Linked DNA regions of Ovis aries. The protein of the gene in region 1 purifies or fractionates together with the protein of each later gene. This does not show direct contact. Links are inferred from orthologs where the notes say so. Each region holds a gene or a part of one and is shown on either strand. Other genes may lie near its edges. The genes, in order: SLAMF6 and SH2D1A.

Region 1 (4,518 bases):
AGGAACAGTTGTCACCAGGAAGGATTTTAGTGTTTTTCTAGATATAAGGAGATACAAGAATTGGGCTCATAAAATTGACTCCTGAAAATATCTGTTAGACTAAACACACTGACTGAAACCACCTACCCTGGCCCGGCACCATAAGAACCATTTGCTTGAGTTATTTTACAACAGGAGGTCTTGGAAAGGAATACAGAACTAGTAAGCCACCACCAACCAAAAGAGTTTGGCAAAGGTCAAAGGAGATGCCATGTGTCCTACCGCCTTCCCAGAATCCTTCTCACTGACTTCCTTCTTGGCTGAGTAATATGTGTGCCACCAGGATGGACCCTGAATCAGAATGATTGGCTAGAAACAACCCAGAAACTCACCCCATCACCATAAAACCCAAGACTGCGAGCCACATGGTGGAGCAGTCCTCTCAGGTCCCCTTCCCCTCCTGCTCTCTGCCTGGGCACCCCTTCCCAATAAAGACTCCTTCTTTGTCAGCACAAGTGTCTCCTCTGACAACACTCATTTCTGAGTGTTAGACAAGAACCCACTTTCAAGCCCTGGAAGGTGTCTCCTTTCTTGCAACCTAACTATTTGAAGACCTGTCCTGCCAGTTTTTCCCAGAGCACAGGGTGCCTCATTGTATTCTCTACCCTGAACTCCTTTAAGGAGCTGTTGAAGATCAGCAGCTGCAGCAACACATGATTTAACCATTGTAAAGGAAGACAGCAAGTGCCCATGGCAAGTGCCAATTTGTAGTTGACATTTGTTTTACCACAATTAAAAAAAAAAAGAATCAAAATAAAAGAAGAAAGGATATAGATAGTAAGAAATGGAGTATTTCCTGCCATAGCAGTAAACAAGAATGTCACAGTCATCAGTGATTCCAATCCTCCAGTGCAACCATGAAAGAGAAGACTACCTGTGGTCCAACAGCTATCACGCTGCCTCCACTCACTTCAAGGAACCAAGGATGTAAAAAAATGCAGGATGCTGGCCCCAGGTAGCTGAGATGCATATGAACAGAATGATTTCAGTAAGCCCAGACTCTTGCATCTTCCATACATAGAAAAGTGCTAAATTCATTAACTTGAGATATTTCATTAAGTAACAATAATCTTTGATGTTCGGACTACCTGCCCCTTGTTGCAAATTTCTATATAGCCTAACTCCTCCCCACCACCTTCTCGGAACACTTCTCTCAGGGTTACTTGAGATGCTGTCTCCCAGGTCTGAAGTCCTAAAAATTTCTGCCAAATAAAACATAACTCTCAACTTTTAAGTTGTAATTATTTTTAAATTTTACAGTAGTGAAGATTCCAGTTCACATCACACATGATTTTTGCACTTAGCTCAGAAAAAAAATAAACAAATTTACAAAATAAAATTGGGACTTTTAGTGAGGGGGAAGAAGGTCTTGCCACGCCTCTGAGAGGAAACAGGCAGCGTTGATCAGAAGCACTTTCAGTTTATGAGTGAATGGCAAGAACGCTGACTATCTTGACGTCTCCAACACCATTCTCCACTGCTAAGAGCATGATCTGGCTGTTCCTGTCTCTCCTGCTTGTCTCCCGCCTTGGCCCAGGTAAATGCTGAAGTATACCCATGTAGTCATTCATGTTTGACTCCTGGTTTTGTGCAGTTTGCGCGATCTAAATCACCTACATTTAGGTGTCTGTCTGTATCTCTACTAAGGGATCCGGTGGGGCTCACAGAGGTGCCTGATAAACTGCCATTGCCTCTCAACTTAAAAGCTTACCACCTGAGATCATTTAGAGTTAACAGCTTCAACTGTGTCTGTATTTAAATGAATTATACGCTGGGGCATGGGAAATGAGCTTTTCTAAGACACGACTGGGGTTTATAGCCAGCATGTTGTGATATAAAGATAGCTAAGGTTAAGAAAAGAAGCCTTCTCACCAGAGTAGCTACTATCTTACTGCGTGATCACAAGTAGGCTACATGTTCTTTCTTAGCCTCATCGAAAATATTGAAAATCTATGGTTCTGCTTAGCTGAAATTTCTGAACCCAACTAAAACACTCAAAATAGTGTTCATGGTTTTTGCGTACTGTGAAAAAACTACTCTCCAGCTTTCCTTTCCTTTGATGCAAATCAGGGACTAGCTAGTCCAGCAATACTTACTCTGCCAGACAGGAATTCTCAGATCCTACATGCTTCTCACTCCCTGCTATCCATTATGTGGAAAACTTGAAGGTTCATGTCAGGTTTTGGGGAAACACGAGTGGTCCAGTGGGGCCAAAGTACAGGAAGGGGTAGGAGACAAGACAAGAAAGCTATCCCAGAACTAGCCCAGGGTAGCAGGTAAAAATAGTTAATATCCATTGTGGGCTTGTATTGTTCCAGGCACTGGGTCAAATGCTACACTTACATCATATACATAAGCTTTCTGACACTTCTAGGAGTCTGTACTATTATTATCCCCTTTTGAAATAACTCTCACAGATTTCATTAGCCAGTAGGTGGCAAGCTCTTGTGATAGTTTTGAGGAACAGTGACCACTGAATCAAAATGGTAGCAGCACAAGAGAGAGGACAGAAGCAAGAATCACCACAGACGTAGAATTAGCTAGATTACCTGGCAATGGGAATGAAGTGGGGAGAGAGTTCATTGTCATCCAATAAACAATCATTGAGCACCTACTGGATGCCCGGCACTATTCTAGTTTCTGAGTGTACACCATGAATGAAGCAGAAAAAAATTTCAGCCCTCACGGGGTTAACATTTTAGCAGAGGAAGCAAACTAAAAACAAAATAAATAAGTGAAACAAATAAGTATATTGGATAGTGATAAATGATAAGGAGGAAATAAATCAAGCAAGGAAAGGAGAGATTAAATATTGGGACAGTGAAATTTCAGACAGAATAGCCAAAAAGTTTACAAAGTTGGGAGGGGGAGGAGGGAGCAGCTGTGATGAGAAGAGGATTTCAATTTTGGACCTACTAATTTTAAGATGTCAGTGTGATATTCATGAGATTTCCTGAAAACAGCTGGAAATTTAGGACTAGAGGTAGAGCTGAGGCTGGAGGCTTGGAACTCACAGCATAGAAATAATAAATAAAGCTAAGGAGAAAATTGTAAGGAGGACAGAAACTTGGGGGATATGTACAAGAGCAGAAAGAGAAAAAAAGTTTACATTCAAGAGCTACTCCCTGGCCCAGGAGCCACGGAGGAAAAGACAAGAGATCCCTGTCTTTGCCTCATTGCAAAATTGAGCTCATCTCTAGAATTCAATATTCTGAATGTCCTCAGGTTAAAATTCCCATTTTTCTCCACATTCCCATTAATATTTCTCATAAGGGGCCCTATGAAATATACACTATTCCTATCGCCACTTTAAGGAAGAAGAATGAAGGCGTACAATGCTTGAGTAACTTGTTTACTGTCACACTGCTGTGGGGGAAGTGAATGGTATAGGAAATGAAACATACTCGAATGTGTGTGCAGGTGTTCTGAGGTCCAGGAAGAAAGCAGTAATTTGCAAGGTTATAATTTAGGGAGACTGGCTCCAGAGTCTATTCATAACCATTTTGCTATGCTGCATAGTTTACAAACAGCTATATATTCACATAAATGTATTTGTAATTATAAACTGTGATACTAAGAAGATAATAAGCAGGGTACTGATGCTGAAAACTCGGCCTCTGTGCATTGGTGCCGAATCAAGTCTCAGACACAGAGTTCTGGGTGAAGTAGAAAAGGATAGTTTTACTGGTTTGCCAGGAAAAGGGAGATACAGCAGGCTTCTGCTCTCAAAAAGCATGTGTCCCAACCTGGGAGGATTTGGTGAGGAGTTTTATAGCAAGGGTAGGATTGCTAATAAGGTTAGGGTGTGTGCAGGGCCTGTACTATTTTAATCTGGTCTCAGATAATCTGATGAGTTTCTGTGGTTCCTTTAATCTGGCCTGAGGTGGTCTTCTAGAAGAGCTTCTCTGCTGCTGCTAAATTGTTTCAGTCGTGTCCGACTCTGTGCGACCCCATAGACAGCAGCCCACCAGGCTCCCCTGTCCCTGGGGTTCTCCAGGCAAGAACACTGGAGTGGGTTGCCATTTCCCTCTCCAATGCATGAAAGGAAAAGTGAAAGTGAAGTGGCTCAGTCATGTCTGACTCTTAGGGACCCCATGGACTCCAGCCTACCAGGCTCCTCCGTCCTTGGGATTTTCCAGGCAAGAGTACTGGAGTGGGTTGCCATTGCCCTCTTGAAGAGCTTCTCTAGTTCCTTTAATCTGGAATGAAGAATGCTGGCATTTTCCATTTGTTGGGAGTGTTAGTTCTATTAGTATAAAGAGCTCAAAAATATTATGCATCCGTTAAGGCAGAACCAGGACCCTGCCCAAGGCTGCACCATTGTTTTTAACTGCTCCTCCCTTGTGTCTGCATCCCTTCCCTTCCCAGATTAGCAACTGTTATAATCTGCCCTTAGGAACTCAGGGAAGGTCGTGAAAGTGAAAGTGAAAGTGAAGTCACTCAGTCTGTCTCTTTGCTACCCCCATGGACTGTAGCCTA
Region 2 (4,545 bases), on another chromosome or scaffold:
TTTTTTTATTCTTGGTGTGGCAAGTGAATGTAGGAGGCTGATGTTTACAGTTTATCTTCCAAAGTTGTTGGATTCTAAGGCTGAACATGCATCAATCAAGGAGAGTTACTATGAACTGCCATTTAAATGGTAGAGAGTTGTTTTCAACCCTAGTGGATGGCAAATATCTGGCTTTTGGTGTAAGGCAGCTTTGCAACATCTGATCCATTGGTAGGACTAGTGAGGATTTAAAAATTGTTCTCCCTATTGGGGTCCCAGATGGGCCAGGCTCTCAAGGAACTAGGTGTGACATTGTTGAAGAGACACAACAGACAACATAATTTCAGCTACTTAAATTTTAATTTTAAAAAGTATTTTACAGGGACTTCCCTGGTGGTCCAGTGGTATAAGATTTCACCTTCTGATGTAGGGGGTGTGGGTTTGATGAAGACCCCCTGGAGGAGGGCATGGCAATCTCCTCCGCTGTTCTTGCCTGGAGAATCCCATGGACAGAGGAGCCTGGTGGGCTACAGTCCACAGGGTTGCAAAGAATTGGACACAACTGAAGCGACTTAGCATACATGCATGGGAAGCTAAGATCCCAGATGCCTTGCAGCCAAAAAACCAAAGCATAAAACAGAAGCAATATTATAAAAACTTCCATAAAGACTAAAAATGGTCTACATCAAAAACAATCTAAAAAGAAAAAGAAAAGTATGTTACACACTCAAAAGAAAAAATGTAGAAGAGCATTCAGCTTCAAACATTAAACAAGGTCTCGTTCTAGTGAAAAATGAGGAAGTTTGGGGGAAATATTACTTAACAGCACATCTTGAAATACAAGAGAGAAGGAAACAAAGGTTGAAAGGTTCTAAAAAATTTGATAGCTTAGCATCAATTGAACAAAAACCATATTCTCTACTAACTACAGATGATAAAAGATACAACGCAATTATCAACACTCACAATGGACTTAAGTTTGATGTCCCAAATGCTAAAAGGTAGGCCCTGTATGTCAAAAGGCACAGACAAGTCCGCATGAAGGCAAAACACCAATGAAATGATTTATTCTCTCATCTAAGGCCCATCAAATAGATACATCTGGAACATCTTTGGACACAGACTGATTTTTGTACCTCAACCAGCACTTTGGGATCTTGGACAAGAAGCCTGGAAATGTTTGATTTGTTCAGGATCAAGATTGCTGGAGATGACTAGGAGGAGTCAAAGAGAAGGGGGAGGGTTTGGGGAGGGGAGGCAGTGGATCCCAAGTCCGCTGTTCACTTCTTGCCTCTGATTCCCTAGGAGCCTCCTGCCTGTGCTCAGTGGGGATCACCCACTGACAATACTGATGACCTCTGTGTTTTGGTCTCAGAGCTTTTGGGCCTTTCATTCTCTGTCAGTATGTTTCTGCCCCACATGAAGATCAACACGGCTTCCCTGTCTCATTAACCCCTTTGGGGACTATTTAAGCTAAGTCAGGGTGGCCTTCCTGGGAAAACTACAAGGACAGAAACATTACCAGGCATTCGTGTCTGCATGCATTGGGAGCACAGGCCACATCCTGCAAGGACCTTCTTCCAATAGTCCTCCCCTCTCTGTCCATCCATCCACCCCAACCCTTTTGTGGCAGAGGCGGAGCAGAGAGGGGAGGGGGGAATTGAACCCTAGGGCAGTAGCCAAGCTGCTAAACTGCTGACCTGGTTTTCACTGAAGTGCGAGAAGGAGGCTGTGAGGCAGGTAGACAACATCCTGTTGTTGGGGCGCTCCTTTCTCTTTTTTGAACATCTGGCTGAACAGGGAGGCAGGTGGCTGAGTCGTGCCTGGTTGCGGCGGCAGCAGCAACAGCGGCCTTTCCCTGCTACTGTCCCCTGGCCATGGACGCGGTGGCTGTGTATCATGGCAAGATCAGCCGGGAGACGGGGGAGAAGCTCCTGCTCGCCACGGGCCTGGATGGCAGCTATCTGCTGAGGGACAGCGAGAGTGTTCCCGGCGTGTACTGTCTGTGTGTGCTGTGAGTACATGACGGGGCCCTGGAGCCCCCACTGCCCACCGTGCGGCTCACGTCCCTCACTGGGGTTGTCTCGCCTGGGCTTCCTGCTCTTCAGAGGGTCTTCTCCAGCGCCTTTGGGGGCGGCTGTAGGAATGCTCTTTGCAGTGGAGGAAAAGGAGCCTAGAATTTACCTTTGCTGCCAAAAGGACTCAGGCTCCTGGCTTCAGGTTGGACCTCTGGTAGAGGCCAGCAAGGTGGAGGCCTGGGATGAGGGAATGGCCAGATATAGGGCCACCAGCTCCTCAGAGGAGAGGCCTTTCTCTCCAGCCCTCTGGCAATGGCTTTGAAGGTATCTTCCCAAAGGAAGATTTCAAATTCAAGGAGAGGAAGAAGACTAAGAAATGGAATCCTTTAAGACAGCAATACCAGTTAGGTCAGGATGTGGGAGAGAGGGACGTTTCTGAATAAAACCACCTCTCTGGATTTGCTTAATTAGCTTTCTTTACAGGAGTTGGAGGGGGGTGGGGTGGGGTTTCAGAAATAGGGCCTTTCCGTGATAAACGCTGGGAGAGACAATAGTCGTAAAGGACATGGAGGGAAAGCACCCTGGTATGATTCAGCTTTGCCCTTTACCTAAGCATCTCTTGGTCTAAAGCCCCATTTTGAATCAGATGCACCTTCATCTTTGCTCCAGGGCTCCAGGGTCAGGCAGAGCTAAGACCTAATCTTGTGCTAGTCTGATGCTGGCTTTGGCAAGTTAACCTCACAGTCCCTCAGTTTTCTTGTCCAAAAAGTGTAATATTACTACCTACCTCATAGGACTGAGCATTAAATGCTGTAATGCACGTAGAAAATTTAGCACTGGACCTGATGCATACTAAGTGTTCAGTAAAAGTAAGCTGTTGTTGTTATTATTTTTTCACTCTCTTTCAGTACTTTTTATTATAATATATTATATATATATATAAAATGTATATATATTTCAGTCAATATCTTTAAGTACTCACGGGGTGTTTCTAAGGAAGTCCCTAGCTCAATCACTCTTTGTTAGCAGGGTAAAAACACTCATGAAAGCAGCAGCCCTGTACAGTAGCTTCTAGACAGAAACAAAATGAGGGAAAATGCTTGGTTGTAATTTTGGTGTCTGATGATACATGGCAAGATTTTGAAGTTCCTTTAGGTCATTGATGAGAGATTGTATTGAGCCTGGTGTTAGAGGATTTTCATTGTTTATTGTATTATTTTTAAATGGGCAAGGCATATTTGTGGCAACTCTCAGGCCATGCTAAAAACGTTTGTTATAAAAGCTACAAGGGATATATGTGCAAGCTAGTGAATCCCTTGGGCTCAGATTTTAGGTTTTCCTTATATTATTGTTTCTCGAAAGTGAAAACTGGGGTAGGTCAGTGAAAGCCAACTCGTATTCCTAGGCTCTTTTCTTATCAATAGAAGGTGGAGGAGTGAGTGAACTGGTGAGAGGAGCTTCTTTAGGAAAGCTCACCAAAGGAGGTAATGGGACCCTCAACCTAGAGGTAAAAATTAAGGTACAAAAGGCCTGGGAAGGGAAGGAAGAGCCGGGGACAGTGTGTGGCAGGATGTTCCTAAGACTTCAGACGCACTGGCCTCTTTGTTGTTTCTCGAGCTTGCCAAGCTGCTCCTTGCTTAGGATCTTCACACTTAACTGTTCCTTCTCCCTCTTCTCTCAGAGAGGACTTCCTTGACTAGCCTCTAAAATAAGTCCCTTCTCCCTGTCCCAGTTATAATCTGTCACTTTAGTTTTCTTCTGGGAGCTTTCAGCTGTCTGACGTTTGCTTGTCTACTTTTGTCTTGCTGGGCTCTCCTGCTACAATGTAATCTCTCTGGGGCAGAGACACCATCTCCCGCACCAGGAACACAGCCTGGCATGCAACAGGTATCATGAGGCATGCAACAGGCACTCAATAAATGTTTCTGAATTAATGAATGAACTGTCAAGGCAAATTCTTTATGGCAGTAGGCTTTTGGGCTGATATCAGGAGGCCAGGATGTGGCCTCTGGGACATCACTCAACTTTTGTAGGTCTTGGTTTCCATATTTCTAAAACAAGAATAATAATGTGTGCTCTATCTTCTGCAGAAGATTATAGTTGGTAAAAGATGCAAGAGAGAAGGATAATCTTAGCCTATTACTCAAATTGGCCAGGGCCACGTAAGGAATTAACTTAGACAGATGGGAAATTCGCAGATTAAGTTTTTGTCCAAAGTGAATCTTGCCTAAATGCAGTTTTTATGACTGTAGGTTCTCCATGCAAACCTTTTTATGAAGTAGCAGAAAATAGTCGGCAAATTGGGAGTCCCCCTAACATATCTTTCAGTGGGCACACTGGGCCTCCAAGTCCTAGAGGCTAATGGCCAGACTGCTGCAGAGGGAAGACACAATGATACAGTGCCTTTTATGACAGTTTCTCAGCTTTTTTTTGAGCCAAGGATCCCTTCTGATAAACGTAAACATTTCATTTCCTCTTTTTTAGTACTACACTGTAGTAACAAAATCAAATTTTATTTTGAAATAAACCATATACTCATTTTTAAACC

Evidence for each region.
Region 2: the proteins of SLAMF6 (region 1) and SH2D1A purify together in Homo sapiens (co-immunoprecipitation; 5 studies listed by BioGRID and IntAct, with this or other methods). This does not show direct contact. The link is inferred for Ovis aries from reciprocal best matches to the Homo sapiens genes SLAMF6 and SH2D1A.

The regions. Positions count from the first base shown.
Region 1 is NC_056054.1:111,557,207-111,561,724, reverse strand, and holds the start of SLAMF6 (SLAM family member 6), read left to right. Parts: upstream 1-1,457; 5' UTR 1,458-1,470; coding exon 1,471-1,576; intron 1,577-4,518. UniProt on the Homo sapiens protein: Self-ligand receptor of the signaling lymphocytic activation molecule (SLAM) family.
Region 2 is NC_056080.1:108,290,819-108,295,363, forward strand, and holds the start of SH2D1A (SH2 domain-containing protein 1A), read left to right. Parts: upstream 1-1,681; 5' UTR 1,682-1,856; coding exon 1,857-1,993; intron 1,994-4,545.